Linked DNA regions of Arabidopsis thaliana. The protein of the gene in region 2 interacts with the protein of the main gene of each other region in a pairwise test. Each region holds a gene or a part of one and is shown on either strand. Other genes may lie near its edges. The genes, in order: AGO1, HSP81-3 and RPP4.

The links.
Region 1: the proteins of HSP81-3 (region 2) and AGO1 interact in a two-hybrid assay, tested with the Arabidopsis thaliana proteins (one study listed by BioGRID).
Region 3: the proteins of HSP81-3 (region 2) and RPP4 come close enough for resonance energy transfer, tested with the Arabidopsis thaliana proteins (one study listed by BioGRID).

What each region holds. Positions count from the first base shown.
Region 1 is NC_003070.9:17,886,576-17,894,687, reverse strand, and holds the start of AGO1 (Stabilizer of iron transporter SufD / Polynucleotidyl transferase), read left to right. Parts: upstream 1-2,091; 5' UTR 2,092-2,260; intron 2,261-2,787; 5' UTR 2,788-2,795; coding exon 2,796-3,431; intron 3,432-3,518; coding exon 3,519-3,727; intron 3,728-3,803; coding exon 3,804-3,953; intron 3,954-4,038; coding exon 4,039-4,178; intron 4,179-4,276; coding exon 4,277-4,386; intron 4,387-4,479; coding exon 4,480-4,586; intron 4,587-4,676; coding exon 4,677-4,815; intron 4,816-4,886; coding exon 4,887-5,003; intron 5,004-5,471; coding exon 5,472-5,579; intron 5,580-5,677; coding exon 5,678-5,749; intron 5,750-6,099; coding exon 6,100-6,222; intron 6,223-6,310; coding exon 6,311-6,473; intron 6,474-6,561; coding exon 6,562-6,821; intron 6,822-6,938; coding exon 6,939-7,081; intron 7,082-7,180; coding exon 7,181-7,243; intron 7,244-7,328; coding exon 7,329-7,392; intron 7,393-7,475; coding exon 7,476-7,611; intron 7,612-7,707; coding exon 7,708-7,781; intron 7,782-7,859; and 4 more.
Region 2 is NC_003076.8:22,679,349-22,684,850, reverse strand, and holds HSP81-3 (heat shock protein 81-3), read right to left. Parts: upstream 3,614-5,502; 5' UTR 3,442-3,613; coding exon 3,319-3,441; intron 3,016-3,318; coding exon 2,874-3,015; intron 2,775-2,873; coding exon 940-2,774; 3' UTR 599-939; downstream 1-598. Other genes in the region: AT5G56020 (Got1/Sft2-like vescicle transport protein family), read right to left, coding at 48-265; Hsp81.4 (HEAT SHOCK PROTEIN 81.4), read left to right, coding at 4,784-4,906, 5,166-5,307, 5,415-5,502. UniProt on the Arabidopsis thaliana protein: Functions as a holding molecular chaperone (holdase) which stabilizes unfolding protein intermediates and rapidly releases them in an active form once stress has abated.
Region 3 is NC_003075.7:9,489,784-9,497,576, reverse strand, and holds the start of RPP4 (Disease resistance protein (TIR-NBS-LRR class) family), read left to right. Parts: upstream 1-1,739; 5' UTR 1,740-1,876; coding exon 1,877-2,346; intron 2,347-5,176; exon of another isoform or gene 5,177-5,504; coding exon 5,505-6,582; intron 6,583-6,765; coding exon 6,766-7,098; intron 7,099-7,198; coding exon 7,199-7,609; intron 7,610-7,725; coding exon 7,726-7,793. Other genes in the region: AT4G16880 (Leucine-rich repeat (LRR) family protein), read left to right, coding at 428-469, 608-1,027.

The DNA.
Region 1 (8,112 bases), on a different chromosome or scaffold from region 2:
AATTGAAATGTAATTTATGTAAACTTCTAGATTTCGAAGGCATAATAACTCTCTAAAATAATTGAGAATTGGATAATATCCGATGATTAAGATAGCATTTACTTACAAGTAATGTTTTCGATAGAATTAATGGTCACTATCCAAATTCCAAACCATACGCTAATGGCTTCCAAAGGAAAACTAAGACTTTATGGAGTTTTACATAAAGTCTTCGTTCAAACATCATTTTCATAAGTCTTTTGTAACTTTCTTCCTCTTAACGGCTTCCTACAATATCTCGATTTAGAACTCCAATCAACATCTAATATTTTGTCTACAACTTTATGTTTTTTCACCTTACTATATGATCTAGACAATCTTTTGTTAGGTAAAGTGTCTAGATATTCTTTCACCTAATTAACACGGAAACGTAAACTTGTACAAAAACATCTATTGATTATAGAAGAGAACCGAGCCGTGAGAGTCGTTTCTCGTCAAGACCGCACCAATCGACTCAAACATGAGCCAAACTGTACGTAGTTCTTATAAGGAACACAAACCTCCATCGTAAACCAACGTTTTCGATCGGTTCTAGCTAGACTCGCCATGCATGCATGTGCGTTGGTGCCCGTAATTACGTACACCAATCTTGATTGATATCAATGCTTATATGCCGTTAATCTTCATCTCGACTCTCGAGGTAGTAGTACTTGACGAGTTCTAAGTTCTTCTTCCGTTATGAGAAATCATATATAAGTTCTTCTATACATCTCGCTTGATTATTATAATCTTTCGCCTTTTAATTTCTCGTTTGATTATTATAATTAATGTTTATAATGAAAAGAATCATTATTTCCCAAAGCAAACGAATCATTTTGAGATAGACTTACAGTTATCACAAAAAGAAATCTAAACGTTTTCCCCAAGATTTAGCCTTTCGTCAGCATGTAATTACTCGTGACATATTCTCTAGCTCATATTTCTTCTTCACGCACGAGCAACCAATTTTGTTATATATGTATAAATCATCTTTGACAATTATATATAATACAGATTTGTTACGAGTATATGAATTTTTTTGAGGTACAGAAGCAAATCAACTAGTGAAACTAAATTAAAGAGCTAACCATCAAATAAAGTAAATTGAATTAAACAAACAAATCATACCACGTGATGACAGCCACCACATTCCTAAAGTTAGAAAATTGGCAAACCTGTAAAAAAGCATCACTTCCCCGAAATCGCAGGTCATATTTCTATGAAAACGAAAGAGAGTTATCTATATAGTAAATGGCTATATTCATATTTGCCCCACCACCCATGACCCATCTCAGTTAATAAATAGTTCTTCTATTCACCTCTATACTATAATCATTCACTTTATCTTATATATAGTCTATAAAACTAAACGTAATTCGCATGATTTTGCCTTTCGTTGCATGAAAAATCCTCCTTGACAATGTACAATTCGTTAGTACTACTCGATCAGTCGCCTTGACTCACGACATTTTCTCTAGCCACTGTTTTATCTTCACACACAAGTACCAATTTTAAACTGTTGTACTTAACTGTATAACATCCTTTATACGTAACGTAAGCCAAAAATTATGATCTAATCAGTTACTACAGATTAATAATAAGATTAATAACGGCCGGTCTACTAATTTTGAACACTTGTGCATGCATTATCTCTCGTTGAAATAGTAAATTAATGCAACTAACTTTACAAGATTAATCGAGGTATATTATAGTCTAAAACAAATATTTAAATTAATGCAACTAACTCTTGAAGATTAATCGAGGTAACGCATCACACTAATCATATTTAATCGGATAATACATATACTGTTAGTAAAATAAATTAAAAAAGATTTGGTAGATAAACGACAAAAATGTTTTTCGTCTTGTTGTTTTCGAGAAGCTTCTTTTTCCGGATTAAAAAAACATTATGCAATTCCACGTCATCAGCGCATTACAAACAATGAAAGACTACACACGACCTTGGGTCAGCATTCCAAAGACCCAACCCTGACTCGCCACGTCGACATATGCCAGCTATTAATGAAGAGGGTAATTCCGTAACTTACTCTAACCACAGAACCCTTGAATTTAAAGTGTAGCAGTAAAATCTCATTTCTTTGAGTTATCTCGTTTGTTCGGAGTTAGAGAGAGAGAGAAAGATATAGAGAGAACACAGAGAGGCGAGAGCGACGTAGGGTTGGTGTTTCGTACGGATTTTCTCGGTCAATCTTAGTTTCTCCGGCGAGAGATTGCTTTTCAGGTAAAAATGGCGGCGGTTTTGGTGTTTGTTCTTCACTTAATCTGTGTTCGATCTGCGTATGAACTCGATTTTTCCACTCGATTGGGTGGATCCGCTTCGTTTTGGTGTTATGGTTCACTGATAGTGTTGTATGTTTAGTTGATCTTTGCGATTTCGGATCTATTAGCTTCGTAGCTGTTTTGGTGTGTGTGTTCGTCTTCGAAGATATTTAGGTTTTTTTTTTTTGTTGCTTCAAATTTCTTACTGTTTCGTGCTTGTTTTCTTACTTCGTTTTCTGTTTAGGTCTTTGATTGTTTCTTACTAGGTTTTCTATGTTTGCTTTGGGCTGTTGAATTTGGTTTTCTATCTCTCTAGCTAATCACTGGTTTTCGTGCTTCTGAGTCGTTTGTTTTTGAAGCTAGTTAGGGTTTTCTTCTGTTGCTTCTATATTTCGATAGTTTTGTGCTTGTTTTCAATGTTTGCTTCTTATTTTCAAGGATAATTTTAAAATGACCCACTGTTTTTGGGTGGTTGTGTTATTTTCACAGGAATCATCATGGTGAGAAAGAGAAGAACGGATGCTCCATCTGAAGGAGGTGAAGGCTCTGGGTCTCGTGAAGCTGGTCCAGTCTCAGGTGGTGGACGTGGTTCACAGCGAGGTGGTTTCCAGCAGGGAGGAGGACAACACCAAGGTGGAAGGGGTTATACTCCTCAACCTCAACAGGGAGGTCGTGGTGGTCGTGGATATGGGCAACCACCACAACAGCAACAACAGTATGGAGGACCACAAGAGTACCAAGGAAGAGGAAGAGGAGGACCTCCTCATCAAGGAGGTCGAGGAGGGTATGGCGGTGGCCGTGGAGGTGGACCTTCTTCTGGACCACCGCAGAGACAATCAGTTCCCGAGCTGCATCAAGCTACCTCACCTACTTATCAAGCGGTGTCTTCTCAGCCTACACTGTCTGAGGTGAGTCCTACCCAGGTACCAGAACCTACTGTTCTGGCTCAGCAATTTGAACAACTCTCTGTTGAACAAGGAGCTCCCAGTCAGGCAATCCAGCCTATACCTTCTTCTAGCAAGGCTTTCAAGTTTCCAATGAGGCCTGGTAAAGGACAGAGTGGAAAGCGTTGCATTGTGAAGGCTAACCATTTCTTTGCTGAACTGCCTGATAAGGATTTGCACCATTATGATGTGAGTTTTGTGTTCCCTTAGTATTAGCTACCATACATCTAATGTCTATTTATAAATTTACCTGACCAACTGTGTTCTTTCTGTTAGGTTACCATTACTCCGGAAGTTACATCAAGGGGTGTCAATCGTGCTGTGATGAAACAACTTGTTGATAATTATCGTGATTCTCACCTTGGAAGTCGTCTTCCAGCGTATGATGGTCGAAAAAGTCTTTACACTGCTGGTCCACTTCCCTTTAACTCCAAGGAGTTCAGAATCAATCTTCTTGACGAAGAAGTAGGGGCTGGAGGTCAAAGGTCTAGTTCTTATGGTTTCTTGTTGATTTTTTTAATAAGGAAGTTTCAGAATAATAACATCTTTCCTATTTTACAGACGAGAAAGGGAATTTAAAGTTGTGATCAAGCTAGTTGCACGTGCTGATCTGCATCACCTAGGAATGTTTTTGGAGGGGAAACAATCAGATGCCCCACAGGAAGCTCTGCAGGTTCTTGACATTGTTCTTCGTGAGCTGCCGACCTCTAGGTACTGGTTACTCATCCTATGGATGTTTGCTTCTTTACTACCATGCTTGTAAGTCTCAGCTGGTTTAGTTTTGCTAACATGTTAGAATCAGGTATATTCCGGTGGGCCGGTCCTTTTATTCCCCTGATATAGGAAAAAAACAATCATTGGGGGATGGCTTGGAGAGCTGGCGTGGATTCTACCAAAGCATTCGTCCTACACAGATGGGCTTATCACTCAATATTGGTGTGATGGCTTGCTGTATTACATTCAATAATTTTTGATATCTGGTTCTCCTTGAATGTTTAACTCATGGTTGTGCTGCAATTTTGTCTGTTTTGTAGATATGTCATCGACAGCCTTCATAGAGGCAAACCCTGTGATTCAGTTTGTCTGTGATTTGCTTAACCGGGATATTTCTTCTCGACCTTTATCTGATGCTGATCGTGTTAAGGTATGAATCAATTGTCATTTTCTGTAGTAAGTGAAATGTTGTATTAATCTACTCTTCTTTGCTTAGTGACTTGGAATCTTCTTCTGTCAACAGATAAAAAAGGCTCTTAGAGGTGTCAAAGTTGAAGTGACTCATCGAGGAAACATGCGCCGGAAGTACCGCATTTCCGGTTTGACTGCTGTGGCCACTCGGGAATTGACGTGCGTATTTGTTTTAGATTTACTACTCTTATTTCGCGAATGTTGAACTTGATGAAATTAATTTTTACTCTCTGTTTTTATCCTTTTCAGATTCCCAGTAGATGAAAGAAATACTCAGAAATCTGTTGTAGAATACTTCCACGAAACATATGGTTTTCGCATTCAGCACACTCAACTACCATGCTTGCAAGTTGGGAATTCTAATAGGCCTAATTACTTACCAATGGAGGTAACTTTGAAATACGTCATCAGGTTTTATTAGCTCACCAGTACTTCCGATTCTAATGTGTTGCTGCACAGGTATGCAAGATTGTTGAAGGCCAGCGGTATTCCAAAAGATTGAATGAGAGACAGATCACTGCTTTGCTGAAGGTTACCTGTCAGCGCCCGATAGATCGAGAAAAAGATATCTTACAGGTATGTTTCTTTATTTTCGATAACTTTGTTTTCCTTCACTTGAATCAAGAGTATCTTTTTGTCCGCCTATCTTGATAGTCGTTTTAAATAATGTATGCTGGTGATAAAGCCTCATTGTGGAATAGATCATTGTAAAATCTGTTTATTCTTACTTGGTTGCATGTGTTTACTTGAAGTAAGTGATTTTCTCAATTCATATCTAACTTGTTTTTAATCATATAAACTTGTGGCTGAAAGGATGTTATGGAATGAATGGCTTAAAAACCTGTTTCTTCTTTACTTGGATGCATATGTTTGCTTGAAGAGAGTGATTTACCTTGAGATGATGCCTTTACTTCATAAATAGTGAGGCAGATTACCATCTTCAGAGTTGTGCTCTTAATTTAGCAGCGCGTGTGTCTTCTGGCTGCTGTTGTTGAAAACTCAATTGTTTATTGCTAACATTATACAATATTTTCTGATTTCTAGACGGTGCAACTCAATGATTATGCTAAAGATAATTATGCTCAAGAGTTTGGCATCAAAATAAGTACTTCTCTGGCTTCTGTTGAGGCTCGTATACTGCCTCCTCCATGGGTATAGTAATCGTTCCCATTGTCTCTTTGCTATTACACTTTTTCTCTGTATCTTAATGACTCAAATTAGGGTTCCAATCTGATTTTAATGTTCTGCAGCTTAAGTACCACGAGTCTGGAAGGGAAGGGACTTGTCTGCCACAAGTTGGTCAATGGAACATGATGAATAAGGTAACTAGACGAAAATGTTCCTGGTTTTCAACTATGCACTTACATGTTTCTTGCTTGTGTTACCTATATATACCTATGCTGTCATTTTTATGTGAATATTTTGTAAATCATGGCTGAGCTGTATATTTCCAGGTAATTGGCAAGAAAATTGTTTATTTATTTGTCTGTTATGAGACATATTACTCTAAAATGCTATTCTCTTGATATGAGTATGGGTGTGGCACTTGACTAGTTGCAGAGAGTATTTTGTTCATGTAGCTATGTAGATACACACTGAATTTGTCTTTGTTATTTTTTGAAAGTGATCACAACGTTTTCTGTTGTCTGGCTAATATGAGTCTTCTCTGCAGAAAATGATCAATGGTGGAACGGTGAATAATTGGATCTGCATCAACTTTTCTAGGCAAGTGCAGGACAATCTAGCGCGTACATTTTGTCAGGAACTTGCTCAAATGTGTTACGTATCTGGCATGGTGAGTCTTTGGAAGCACAAACTTGATCAGTTTATTAACCTTTCCTACACTGATTCCTTCCCTTTAATTTTTTATTTCTTACCTGCAGGCATTTAATCCGGAACCAGTCCTCCCACCAGTCAGTGCTCGCCCTGAGCAAGTAGAGAAGGTCTTGAAGACTAGATATCATGATGCCACATCAAAACTCTCCCAAGGAAAAGAAATTGATCTGCTTATTGTCATTCTGCCCGATAATAATGGATCATTATACGGTATGAGCCATGGTCTCGGATGTTTCATTGTCTACTTCTGCTTAGGAACACACTCTCAACTTATTTTCCTTAATAATATCCATTGCAGGTGATTTGAAACGCATATGTGAGACTGAACTCGGCATAGTCTCTCAATGTTGCCTGACAAAGCATGTCTTTAAGATGAGCAAACAATACATGGCTAATGTTGCGCTGAAGATTAATGTGAAGGTTGGAGGAAGAAACACAGTGCTTGTTGATGCTCTATCTAGGCGGATTCCTCTAGTCAGTGATCGACCCACCATTATATTTGGTGCTGATGTTACCCACCCTCACCCTGGAGAGGATTCAAGCCCATCTATTGCTGCTGTAAGTTAGCTTCTCCTTTAAGATCTACTTCTGTATATGGATGCTTTTGTTTATTTTCATGGCCTTAACCTTTTCAAATTGTGCTTGTTTTGTTGACAACGAAATTTTTGTTTTCAGGTTGTGGCATCTCAGGATTGGCCTGAAATCACTAAATATGCTGGATTAGTTTGCGCTCAAGCGCATAGGCAGGAGCTCATTCAGGATCTGTTCAAAGAGTGGAAGGATCCTCAGAAAGGTGTGGTGACTGGTGGCATGATAAAGTACGTGTGGATGTTATTTAATATTTTCGTGATTGGGTTTTAGCTTTAGCTTGCTCTTAAGTAACAGATCTGTACGTTTCTCCCCTTACTTTTGAACAGGGAGTTGCTCATAGCCTTCCGTAGATCAACTGGGCATAAACCACTAAGGATCATCTTCTACAGGTATTAACTCTTCTTATGGCACTTACTTGACTAAATAACTTTCTGTCTTTCTTTCTGAAATGTATTATATGGTTATTCTGCACAGGGATGGAGTCAGTGAGGGACAATTTTACCAAGTTTTGCTCTATGAACTTGATGCCATCCGCAAGGTAACAGTTACTTCTAACAAATGGCTTGTGTTGCGTGCTCGTTTTCTTCTGTTTAATCTGATTATTATTTCAACTCATTTCAGGCCTGTGCTTCGCTGGAAGCAGGTTATCAACCACCAGTGACATTTGTGGTGGTGCAGAAGCGTCATCACACGAGGCTGTTTGCTCAGAACCACAATGATCGCCATTCGGTGGACAGAAGTGGGAATATTTTACCTGGTGAGACAAGTTTGGATCTTTGTCAAGCTTTTTGTGCGTAGACCTAATCAGCTGAAAATCCCTTGCATTGGTTTTTAACCCCTTTGTTAATTGTAGGCACTGTTGTGGACTCTAAAATCTGCCACCCTACAGAGTTTGACTTTTACCTCTGTAGTCATGCTGGTATTCAGGTATAATTTACAATCTCAAATGAGTTTGTGGGTGAGAATTTATTTGAAGTGTTTAACAAATCAAAACTCCATTAACAGGGCACTTCTCGACCTGCTCATTACCACGTTCTTTGGGATGAGAACAACTTTACTGCAGATGGACTTCAATCTCTGACCAATAACTTATGTTACACGTAAGATTTCTTACCTTTGTAACATATTCCTTGTTACAAGTGTTTGCAAGATTGCAAGGAAAATAAGAGTAACATTTAAACTACCTTTTTGATTTGTACAGGTATGCAAGATGCACACGCTCAGTTTCAATTGGTAAGTTTTGTGTTTCCCATCCCTT
Region 2 (5,502 bases):
CAATCGTTAAACCCCTAAAGATTAAGAGAAAGAGATGGATGGATTACACATTAAAGGTGCCGGAAACAGTGTCGTTGGCAGATCTAACGGCGGATTCGATATCGAAGCCTAAAGTTCCGGTGTCTTCTTCAAAATCTCTCGATGCTGCGTAAGAATTCCAATCAGCTAGCAGAGACGTTCCTCCTGTTTGCAGCGGTTGCTGCTGCTGATCTCCGCTGCTACTAGTGCCGCTCATCGGAAACCATCCTTTGGCCATTTTCTCCATTTCGTTGGGAATTTTTGGAGCTGAGAAATCAAAATATAGCTGAATACCGACGATCAGTGGTTTACGTCGGAGCTAAGGAAATCGGCAGACGTCAAATCGAGCGTTGATGAAGATTCTGTCAAGGGACCGTCGTCTTAAACGGCAGTGTTATTTTGCGTTGCACTACTCATATTCTAATCGTAAAAGTTATTTAAAAAAATAATAATAACCTTTAAAACTGACCAAAAAATTGTTACACAAATTATCCTTTTTAATCAAAGTAGTAACAACATTTGTGCAGAAAATTAACGCTAAGTCAAACAGTAACAACAGTATTATGTCGAACAATAAATTATTTATTATTGTAAAGAATATGTAAGCTGTGTTGTCTGAGATGCTTAACAATATGATTTGGAGCTGCTTCATGTATTTTATTAGCCATATTAGTCATACTAATAACTTAGTTATAGGCTACATAACCAAAATAAGCTTGGATTTGCAAGATTGTGCATAAGAGAACCTTTGTCATCAAACCGAATTCAGAGAAAAAATCTTCACGAAAACAAGCGATAGAAGAAATAAACTCCAGAAAATAGTTCCAAAATATTAGTTCAAACGAAAACATAAAAAAAAAAGATAAAAAGATAACCAATGTCTCAACACCCCTAATGATTAAGTCGACTGTGTGTGATAATTTAGTCAACTTCCTCCATCTTGCTACCTTCAGCATCGGCATCATCTTCAAGTGGAGGCATGTCAGCATCGGCTTCAACAACATCATCGTCATCAATGCTCAATCCAAGCTTCAACATCCTGTGAATCCTGCTCCCGAAAGTGTTGGGCTCATCGAGGCTGAAACCAGAAGTGAGAAGAGCGGTCTCAAAGAGAAGAAGTACAAGGTCCTTCACAGACTTGTCGTTCTTGTCTGCATCAGCTCTCTTTCTCAGCTCATCCATGATGGAGTTCTCTGGGTTAATCTCCATTGTCTTCTTGCTCGACATGTAGCCACCCATGCTGCTGTCTCTCAAGGCTTGAGCTTTCATGATCCTCTCCATGTTTGCAGTCCAGCCATACTCGCCTGTTACAAGACAGCAGGGTGAGTCCACAACACGGTCAGAGACGATAACCTTCTCAACCTTGTCTCCCAAAACGTCCTTGATCACTTTGCAGAGTCCCTCAAACTTCTCCTTGAGCTCTTCTTTCTTCTTCTTCTCGTCTTCAGTCTCATCCAGTTTCAGACCTTCCTTGGTTGCAGAGACAAGCTTCTTTCCTTCGAATTCCTTGAGCTGACCAATAGCATACTCATCGATAGCGTCAACCATGTAGAGAACTTCAATACCCTTCTTCTTGAGCTTCTCAAGGAATGGAGAGTTCTCAACAGCCTTCTTGCTCTCACCAGTGATATAGAAGATATCGTTCTGACCTTCCTTCATCCTTGTCACGTAGTCCTTGAGACTGGTCAATTCATCACCGCTCTTGGTTGAGTGGTAACGGAGCAACTCAGCAATCTTGGTTCTGTTTTGGGAGTCCTCATGGATACCGAGCTTCAGGTTCTTAGAGAAAGCCTCATAGAACTTGTTGTAGTCCTCCTTGTTCTCAGCAATCTCAAAGAAGAGCTCAAGACACTTCTTCACAAGGTTCTTGCGGATGACCTTGAGGATCTTGTTCTGCTGCAATGTTTCTCTTGAGATGTTGAGAGGAAGATCTTCAGAGTCAACAATACCCTTGACAAACCCAAGGTACTCAGGAATGATGTCTTCACAGTTGTCCATGATGAAGACACGACGGACATAGAGCTTGATGTTGTTGGGCTTCTTCTTAGTGTCAAAGAGATCAAAAGGAGCTCTCTTGGGAACAAAGAGGATAGCTTTGAACTCAAGCTGTCCTTCAACTGAGAAATGCTTCACAGCCAAATGCTCTTCCCAGTCATTGCTCAAACTCTTGTAGAAAGCAGCGTACTCCTCCTTGTTGATCTCCTCTGGCTTCCTCATCCAAATCGGTTTCTGCTTGTTCACCAAATCCCACTCATGAGAAACCTCCTTAATCTTCTTCTTTTTCTTCTCCTCCTTTTCTTTCTCCTCATCAACTTCCTCAACCTTGCCTTCCTCATCCTTCTTCTCTTCCTCCTCTTCATCATCAGAGATCTCCTTCTCAATGGTCTTCTCAATCCAGAGAGAGATTGGGTAGCTGATGAACTCAGAGTGCTTCTTCACCAAATCCTTAAGCCTTCGCTCCTCAATGTACTCCATCTGGTCTTCCTTGAGGTAAAGGACCATCTTAGTTCCTCTACCAAGAGCCTCACCAGAGGTGTCTCTGGTGACGGTGAAAGATCCACCGGCCTGAGACTCCCACACGTACTGCTCATCGTCATTGTGCTTGGTAGTAACAACAACCTTGTCAGCAACCAAGTAAGCAGAGTAGAAACCAACACCAAACTGTCCAATCATGCTAACATCAGCTCCAGCAGCCAACGCCTCCATGAATTCTTTGGTTCCAGATCTTGCAATTGTTCCAAGGTTGTTCACCAGATCTGAAAAATAAAACAAAAACGTATTAGCCAACACACCAAACACATAAATAATCAACGAAAACCAATACAAATTGCTTTTGACTGAAATCAATTACGTACCAGCCTTGGTCATCCCAATACCACTATCGATAATCGTCAAGGTGTTGTTAGTCTTGTCGGGAATGATGTGAATGAAGAGCTCTGGCTGACCATCGAGCTTGCTCTTGTCTGTCAAGGACTCAAACCTAATCTTGTCCAAAGCCTGTTTTCACCAGAGTAAAATCACAATCGTAAGTAACCAACCAATACACAGAACGTATATACAAATTACATATAAGCAAACTTTGTAAATCTAACAAGAGTCTGCTTAATCGTTGGTATCAACACTAAAACTAATCAACAGATTTGAACACAAACAGCTTCGCAACTTCAATTACCAACCAAAATTCTAAAATCGGCTAGAACACTAAACCCTAATCAATCCTAAATCTACAGATCGAACAGCCAGATCAATCAAACGAGACAGACAAGTATAAAATAAGGTGTAGAGAGATAGAGATCGTACATCAGAAGAGTTACTGATGAGTTCACGAAGGAAGATCTCCTTGTTAGAGTAAAAGGTATTGATGATGAGGGAGAGCAACTGGTTGATCTCAGCTTGGAAAGCAAAGGTTTCTGCGTCCGCCATTCTCGTTGATCGGAAAAAAAATCTAAGAGCTAGGGTTTATGAATCAAATCGAGAGATAAAGAGAGCAAAATTTTCTTTAGAGAGCAGAGAAGTGTTGATTGATACGAGACTTTGGGGAAGGATGTTATTATATATAGTGGTGTGGGGACTGGGAACCTATAAGGGTTTCTAGATCCTTCCTATTTGATTTATGTTAATTTGCTTTTCAGGTCCACATAATCTGCAATATAATTAAATGGAAATTACAAAATACAAAACTATTTTTTGGTAGAAAAATACAAAACTTTATTAAATTTTTTAAAATTTTATTCCCTTTTATTTTATTTTGGAGAACAGGTGTAATTTACTACTTTTTGTAACAGGTTTTAGTTTACTTCTTTTTTTTTTTGGTTAAATTTTGTAATTTACTATTTTATTTTATTGGTTGATGATAATTTACTATTTATAAAAAACAGTCAGATTTAATTCTACTCCCTTTTTATTTTGCAGAACAGGTGTAATTTACTACTTTTTTGTAACAGGTTTTAGTTTCCTTTTTTGTTAATTTTGTAATTTACTATTTTATTTTATTGATGATAATTTACTATTTTAAAAACAAAGCAATAATTTTATTTTTTGCTTACAACTTTTTTTTTCCTGTTTACAGATTGGTATGTGTATCTTTTAATAAAGTTTCAAAAAAATCAATAATTAAATAATAATATTGAAAGTTGTAAAATAAATAAATTAAAACAATAACAAAAAGAAACACATATTCTCTAAAAAGCGTGGGGTTTGTGGGGAGAAAAAATTGATTTTTTTTTTTTAACTTCAGAATTGATTAAAACTTTTTTTTTTTTTTTAACACAACTATTTATCTTGTTGTTATAAATTAAATACATAACTAAAATTTGAAATAAAATTTTGAGATATCTTGAAACTAAGGGATTAACTTTATCGATTTCAAAAAATAACCCAAAACTAGGACCGATCTAAAAAAATCTAAACATAGATAAACTAGAATGAATGGGAACTTGTAAATTCAAATCCATAACAAAATCGAATTTTGTATATGGAGAAAAACATTGTTTTTATTGATTAGTTTAGCTAATAGAAAAATTTAACAAAAAAAAAAAAAAAAAAAGTAAGTAGCACTTGTTCCAAAAAAAAGGAAAGTAAAATATTATGACAATTTTTATATTTTACAATTTCCATTATATTATGACGTCTGTTTCCACATCCCCTATATATTACACACTTTTCCCCCTTAATCAAACCATCAATACTTCTCTGCTTCTCTTAAGAATTTGCTTTTTGATTCACATAAACCCTAATTCTTAGATTTTTTTCCCGATCAACGATAATGGCGGACGCAGAGACCTTTGCTTTCCAAGCTGAGATCAACCAGTTGCTTTCCCTCATCATCAATACCTTTTACTCCAACAAGGAGATCTTCCTCCGTGAACTCATCAGTAACTCCTCCGATGTACGATCTCTCCCTCTCTGTCTTTCTATGTTTATCTTTAAGCTTAATGTGTTTGTGTATCTCCTTCGATTGATTTGACGGATCTATGTGTAGATTTAGGTTTTATTAGGGTTTAGTGTTCTTTTCGATTTGAGATTTTCGTTTGTTAATTGATGGAACCTTTTCATGTTCAAATTTGTTAGATTACTTAGTTTTTGATTGTATATATGTTGTGTGTATTTTGTTACTTATGATTGAGCTTTTTATTCTGGTGAAACAGGCTTTGGACAAGATTAGGTTCGAGTCCTTGACGGATAAGAGCAAGCTCGATGGTCAGCCTGAGCTTTTCATTCATATCATTCCGGACAAGACTAACAACACCTTGACCATTATCGATAGTGGTATTGGGATGACCAAGGCTGGTACGTAATTGATTTCATTCAAAAGCAAGTTGTACTTGATTTCATTCAAAACCATTATCTATGTGTTTGATTTGTGTTTGCTGATTCGTGTTTGTTCTATTGTACAGATTTGGTGAACAACCTTGGAACAATTGCAAGGTCTGGTACCAAGGAGTTCATGGAGGCATTGGCTGCTGGAGCTGATGTTAGCATGAT
Region 3 (7,793 bases), on a different chromosome or scaffold from region 2:
TATACTTATTCTCCTAATCCATGTGCATGTATGTATTGGGAAACAAGACTTTGATATTAAACAATCATAAGTACATTCTTACGATAAACTGTCTTGTACAAGGACAACTGACAACCACAAAATTTGTGTGTTTCAAAATATCTGTGTAGAGGAAACGAATAACGTAAGTTTCTGTCTAATTGCCTAGAACTTGAAATATTATTTCTGTCTTGTACAAAGACTTATCATAATTCAGTGACAACCACAAAAATTCAATCTTCAAAAATATCTCTTGAATGTGTCTCCATCTCAGGATTATAGTGATGGAAGCTCAAGTTTGAGATTTTTCCCTCAGATTTCAAGTAACATCATATGCCTATGGTGGCGTTATTGTCCATTGAAGCGTTTGCCTTCTAATTTTAAGGCTGAGTATCTGGTTGAACTCATAATGGAGGATAGTGACCTTGAGAAGCTGTGGAATGGAACTCAGGTACTAATTTTTTATTGTTTTTGTTGTCAATTTGAAAACAGAAATGTGTTATGTTTATTGATTTATTTGTTCAAAAAATTAAATGAATTTTTTGAAATGTTTACGAACGTCTGTTATTCTCTCTTTCCTTGTTTTCAGTTACTTGGAAGCCTAAAGAAGATGATTCTGCGTAATTCCAAATATTTGAAAGAAATTCCAGATCTTTCTTTAGCCACAAACCTCGAGAGACTAGATCTTTGTAAATGCGAAGTGCTAGAAAGTTTTCCAACTCCTCTCAACTCGGAATCTCTTGAGTACCTCAATCTCCTACGATGCCCCAAGTTGAGAAATTTCCCTGAGATTATTATGCACAGTTTCAGAGGAGAAATTGACATCGAGGTAGCAGATTGTTTATGGAACAAGAATCTCCCTGGACTCGGTTATCTTGATTGCCTTAGGAGATGTAATCCAAGTAAATTTCGCCCAGAACATCTCAAAGACCTCACAGTGAGATGTAACAACAAGCTTGAGAAGCTATGGGAAGGCGTCCAGGTAATTCATACGTATATTATATATTGATCAAGATTCAATAAGAGATTCATCCGTACAAATAAGGAGAAAGGCCTAGTATTGGGTATGTGCTACAAGGAGTTGGGCCGAACACATGAGAAGTCTATGGAGAGCTTCTAGAAAGAGTGAAGGCGCACAAATATCTCTTGTAGCCGTTGAAGAGGACTCACGAGTGTCTTTAGCGACATGGTCAACCAAGGACCAGTCGCTCTCACCATCAAGACCAAGGAACCTCTTCTCTCATGTCTCTTTCAGTCTTACGTTAATTGTAAACGGTCATATTCCCTTTGTGTGTCTTTAAATACATTGTAAACACACAAAGGTTACTAACTAATTCTATCAATATGATTTGGTCATTCTCACTCATATACCAACTCTCTTGTTCTTCATAATTCTCTTACTCTTTGCTACAATTCCGCATATTCTTTCATTATATACAAGGACAACTGATAACCACAAAATTTGTGTTTTCAAAATATCTTTGTAGAGGAAACGAATGTAAGTTTCTGTCTACTTGCCTAGAAATTGAAATATTATTTCTGTCTTGTACAAAGACTAAGACTTATCATAATTCAGTGACAACCACAAAAATTCAATCTTCAAAAATATCTTTGTATGTAGTGTAAAAAAGCTTTCGAGGAAAGGAAGGGCCGAGTTTCTTTATTATTTACGTCTCAATTGTCTTGTTAGGAGATTTGATTTTAGCCACTTAAAAGAATATCTTGTACAGTAAGTCTTCTATGCAAGTCTTGGAGGGAAGGAAGACGAAGTTTCTCCTCTCTTTCTCACACTATGTCTTGCTGATTTACTTCTCTTAAAAATCTTCGTCTCTTCTCTGAGTTCCCTCTATCGTCTCCCATGGCTTCTTCTTCTTCTTCTCCTAGTAGCCGGAGATACGACGTTTTCCCAAGCTTCAGTGGGGTAGATGTTCGCAAAACGTTCCTCAGCCATCTAATCGAGGCGCTCGACCGCAGATCAATCAATACATTCATGGATCACGGCATCGTGAGAAGCTGCATAATCGCCGATGCGCTTATAACGGCCATTAGAGAAGCGAGGATCTCAATAGTCATCTTCTCTGAGAACTATGCTTCTTCAACGTGGTGCTTGAATGAATTGGTGGAGATCCACAAGTGTTACAAGAAAGGGGAACAAATGGTGATTCCGGTTTTCTACGGCGTTGATCCTTCTCATGTTAGAAAACAGATCGGTGGCTTTGGCGATGTCTTTAAAAAGACATGCGAGGACAAACCAGAGGATCAGAAACAAAGATGGGTTAAAGCTCTCACAGATATATCAAATTTAGCCGGGGAGGATCTTCGGAACGGGTATGTTTTATTTATTCCACTATTTCTATGAGTGTTTATAATTATTGCAAAACTAGAAAATGTGCGTGGGTTTAAAATTAATATAAAATATGAAATAATTTTAAAATTTACATAATGAAATATTTTTAGCTATTTAAAAACAAATTTTTTATTGTGTATATCATATTACATAAATTAGTTGTTTATAAAGCTTTCAAAAAATATTTGGAATTACTCTCAGTTAAAGAGAGCAAATTAATTTTGTTTTGAATAAAAATTTCAATTTCATTATGGAATATAATTATATTAGCATCTACAATATGGGTAGCTTGAAATAAGTGTTATATGTTTTGTTGATTTTGAACTCATTAAATTTGTTTTTCTTTTGTTATAATTTATATGAATTCATGTGGTGTAAAATAATTTATTAATAAATATATAATTAAAGTTTCAATTAGCATGTCAATATGACATATTACATTTTTACTTTCACAATAAATAATATCTACTCAAGATTTGGTTTTTTAATCGACAAAATTGATATATTGGTAAGTCCTGATTTTCAAAATCAACTGACGACCTTTATGTTATTGAAAAAACTAAAATGATCTCCTAACTTCTAAATTACACACTTTCATTGTTTCACATCATCATCATCATCTATTGTTTGAGAGAAATGCAAGATTTTATCAAGCTATTACACTTTCTTTACAAACAAACCAATGCCCTTTTTAAGAGACTCAACAAATTCGTCCTAGGTATAATAAACCGTATTTCAAGCACACCACTCGACATTGATCTAATGCGCTATTGTATAAAAAGTTATTTTTTTAAACATCATTATCCTTTTTATAAATCTTGCTTTACTGAAATTAACAGTTTACCCAAAATATATAAAACATTTTGTCTCATATTTCGTAAGACACATTTTATTTTGTCTTGATATAATATATAATTAAACCTAAATTTCAAATATAATTAAGGATATAGATAAAAGGTCGCACATGATGGCTTCTCAAATACTCTCATATAAAAAATCTTAAAATTTAAGAAAAGATAAACTTGAAAAATAAAAATCCTAAATCATTTCAATATGTCACTCATATAAAAGAATTTAATTTTGTTTTGCTTCATTATATATAATAGAGTCTTTTATTATGAATTATTTGGTCCTAAATATAACTTTTAATGTGTATTATAGGCATAGATTTTTGTTATTTGTATTATGAGTCTTTCAATATTTTGACTTATAGGTTTGAAAACAATTATTGGAAAAGTCATTAAATATAAGTAATGATAGAAAAAGATTAAACAATTTTCCTCATATGAGTGAACTAATGTTGATCATGTTTTCTTTAGAGGCTGAGAATTGAGCTTCCTTATGCTAAAAAATGAACACAATTTTAAGTTTTTTTTTTTGTCAATTTGGATGCCAACGCAAATTGATGTAGAGTAAGATGAGATTGAACAAAATTACTGAAATGTTGTTTTAAAGAACATATATGTCAACAAAATTTGGTAACTATTTATAGAAATATTGGGTGAACAAATTATAATTCTCATTTTAAAATTCAAAACATTATAAACAGAAACTACATATAATTAGAATTTAATTTTATTAACAAAAATAAAAAATATTATACTAAAATTTAACTCGAAATATTTAAGTTGGAAAGAGAAATAAATAGTTATATAATTAGTATGGTCATACCTATTGTTATCGCTCCACCATTAATCGAGATTAACTAAATCACTTGCATCAAATTTTGTATTTTATGAATGATCAAAACCTTGATCCTTACTTTCTCTTGCAATTGACTATGCTATCCATAGTCTGCTAGCTTCTTATCTTATATCCATTTAAATGGTTTAAAGTGCATTTGATGCCTACAAAACAAAAAAAAAAACTTTTTCTAAAAGATGCAAAAATATCTTGAATTAAATTCAGAACAAAAAAAAACAGGAAAAAAACACATGTAAGTAAGATTCAATATAACCATTTTAGAAACATTAAACAATATGAAATCATTCACAAAAACTTAAAAAGAAAACGAAATCTGAGAGCTAATACGAGTCCAAACCTTAAATGAAGGAGAGAAATTGAAAGACAGGGACTCTTGCCGTAAACGTTGTTAATACCGCAAGCCATCTTCCATTTTTCGTCAATTGTTAAAGGAAATAAAAATACTTGTGTGTGATAAAAAATAGTATATATATTTGCTATTTATATCAGAAAAGTAGATATTTAGGGTATAACTAATTCATGTGTTTATTTCCAGCATAAATGTTAATAATTGGTTCAAAAACGTTTGCAACACAAACGTTACATGAGTAACAATTTTTTTTTTTTTAAAACGTTACATGAGACACTCAATCACCCTAATTTTCTTTTTCTCATTGGTGTTTACTTTACATTTCATTGATTTTAGTCATTTGAGTCTTTTTTAATGAGGTTAGTTTTACATTTATTTCAAATTTATTTTCTTATGAAATCATATTTTTAAAAGCAATTCTATTATTTAAATATTTAAATATTAAAAATTATTAAAAGACAATCCCAAAGTAAGATAGGTATGATAATATTTATAGTAAATAATTTAATAAAAGCATGTGTAAATATTATATTATAAAATGAGAGAAAATAAAAAGACAAATCATATTTTAATGCATCTGTATTATTTATATATTGATAAATGATACATCATCAAATAATAAAATTAGAATTAATATTTATTCTATTTTCATTGTTTTGAAAATTAGAATAAATTATTTATTCATTGTTTATGCTAAATTCATTTTTTGAATAAACTGTAGGAAAATATGTTATATATCATGAAAATAATCTTTGATATTTGCTTTTAATGATTGAAAGTAAAACAAAATTAATTTAGAAATAAATTTAAAATTTCTTACTTATATTTTTTCAAAAACAAAATATTTTATAATTAAATTTAATGCAAAATGATTATGGTATATTTCAGTTTTGGAAGCAATAAAAATTAAAAAAATTACACATATCGAAAGAATAGAGTGCGACTTATCAAATTCTCAGAGCATGACTTCGAGAAAACCTTACTTTATTATATAAGACTGGGTTTTTTTTTCTTGCGTTGACTTCGAATCTTCGATTGTGCTTTTAAGGGTGCCTCTCTATTGACACAATTGACTATTGTTATTAGGCCTACTGAAGCGTTTATGGTTAAAAAGATAGCCAATGATGTTTCGAATAAACTTTTTCCTCTGCCAAAGGGTTTTGGTGACTTCGTCGGAATTGAAGATCATATAAAGGCAATAAAATCAATACTTTGCTTGGAATCCAAGGAAGCTAGAATAATGGTCGGGATTTGGGGACAGTCAGGGATTGGTAAGAGTACCATAGGAAGAGCTCTTTTCAGTCAACTCTCTAGCCAGTTCCACCATCGCGCTTTCATAACTTATAAAAGCACCAGTGGTAGTGACGTCTCTGGCATGAAGTTGAGTTGGGAAAAAGAACTTCTCTCGGAAATCTTAGGTCAAAAGGACATAAAGATAGATCATTTTGGTGTGGTGGAGCAAAGGTTAAAGCACAAGAAAGTTCTTATCCTTCTTGATGATGTGGATAATCTAGAGTTTCTTAAGACCTTGGTGGGAAAAGCTGAATGGTTTGGTTCTGGAAGCAGAATAATTGTGATCACTCAAGATAAGCAACTTCTCAAGGCTCATGAGATTGACCTTGTATATGAGGTGGAGCTGCCATCTCAAGGTCTTGCTCTTAAGATGATATCCCAATATGCTTTTGGGAAAGACTCTCCACCTGATGATTTTAAGGAACTAGCATTTGAAGTTGCCGAGCTTGTCGGTAGTCTTCCTTTGGGTCTCAGTGTCTTGGGTTCATCTTTAAAAGGAAGGGACAAAGATGAGTGGGTGAAGATGATGCCTAGGCTTCGAAATGATTCAGATGATAAAATTGAGGAAACACTAAGAGTCGGCTACGATAGGTTAAATAAAAAAAATAGAGAGTTATTTAAGTGCATTGCATGTTTTTTCAATGGTTTTAAAGTCAGTAACGTCAAAGAATTACTTGAAGATGATGTTGGGCTTACAATGTTGGCTGATAAGTCCCTCATACGTATTACACCGGATGGAGATATAGAGATGCACAATTTGCTAGAGAAATTGGGTAGAGAAATTGATCGTGCAAAGTCCAAGGGTAATCCTGCAAAACGTCAATTTCTGACGAATTTTGAGGATATTCAAGAAGTAGTGACCGAGAAAACTGTAAGTTTTTCGCAGCTCCGTTTGAATGCATGACTTTATATTAATATAATCGTAATTTGGGGATTGATAAACTTAAGCAATTGTTGCCTCATGCGTAATTAAAACGTAGTTTTGATGTGTCAGAAAAATAAAAAGGGTTGCGATTGTTAAGATTATATTAGTTTTCTTTGGATTTTTTTTCAGGGGACAGAAACTGTTCTTGGAATACGTGTGCCACCCACGGTATTATTTTCGACAAGGCCGTTATTAGTAATAAACGAAGAATCGTTCAAAGGCATGCGTAATCTCCAATATCTAGAAATTGGTCATTGGTCAGAAATTGGTCTTTGGTCAGAAATTGGTCTTTGGTCAAAAATAGATCTACCTCAGGGCCTCGTTTATTTGCCCCTTAAACTCAAATTGCTAAAATGGAATTATTGTCCATTGAAGTCTTTGCCATCTACTTTTAAGGCGGAATATCTAGTTAACCTCATAATGAAGTATAGTAAGCTTGAGAAACTGTGGGAAGGAACTCTGGTACGAATTCTAAATTTTTATTAGTTGTCAGTTTTTAGAACAGAAAATTGTGGTATATTTGTGAACGTGTGTATTCTCTTTTTCCATATTTTGTTTTCAGCCCCTTGGAAGTCTCAAGAAGATGGATTTGGGGTGTTCCAACAATTTGAAAGAAATTCCAGATCTTTCTTTAGCCATAAACCTCGAGGAATTAAATCTTTCTAAATGCGAATCTTTGGTGACACTTCCTTCCTCGATTCAGAATGCCATTAAACTGAGGACGTTATATTGTTCGGGGGTGCTATTAATAGATTTAAAATCATTAGAAGGCATGTGTAATCTCGAATATCTATCAGTTGATTGGTCAAGTATGGAAGGCACTCAAGGCCTCATTTACTTGCCACGTAAACTCAAAAGGCTATGGTGGGATTATTGTCCAGTGAAGCGTTTGCCTTCTAATTTTAAGGCTGAGTATCTAGTTGAACTCAGAATGGAGAATAGTGACCTTGAGAAGCTGTGGGATGGAACTCAGGTACTAATTCTATTAGTGATCAATTTCTAAACATAAATATGTTAGAAAAACAAAAATGAATCTGTTTAAAATATTCATTAACGCGTGTACTCTCTTTTCCCCTATTTTGTTATCAGCCACTTGGAAGCCTCAAGGAGATGTATCTGCATGGTTCCAAATATTTGAAAGAAATTCCAGATCTTTC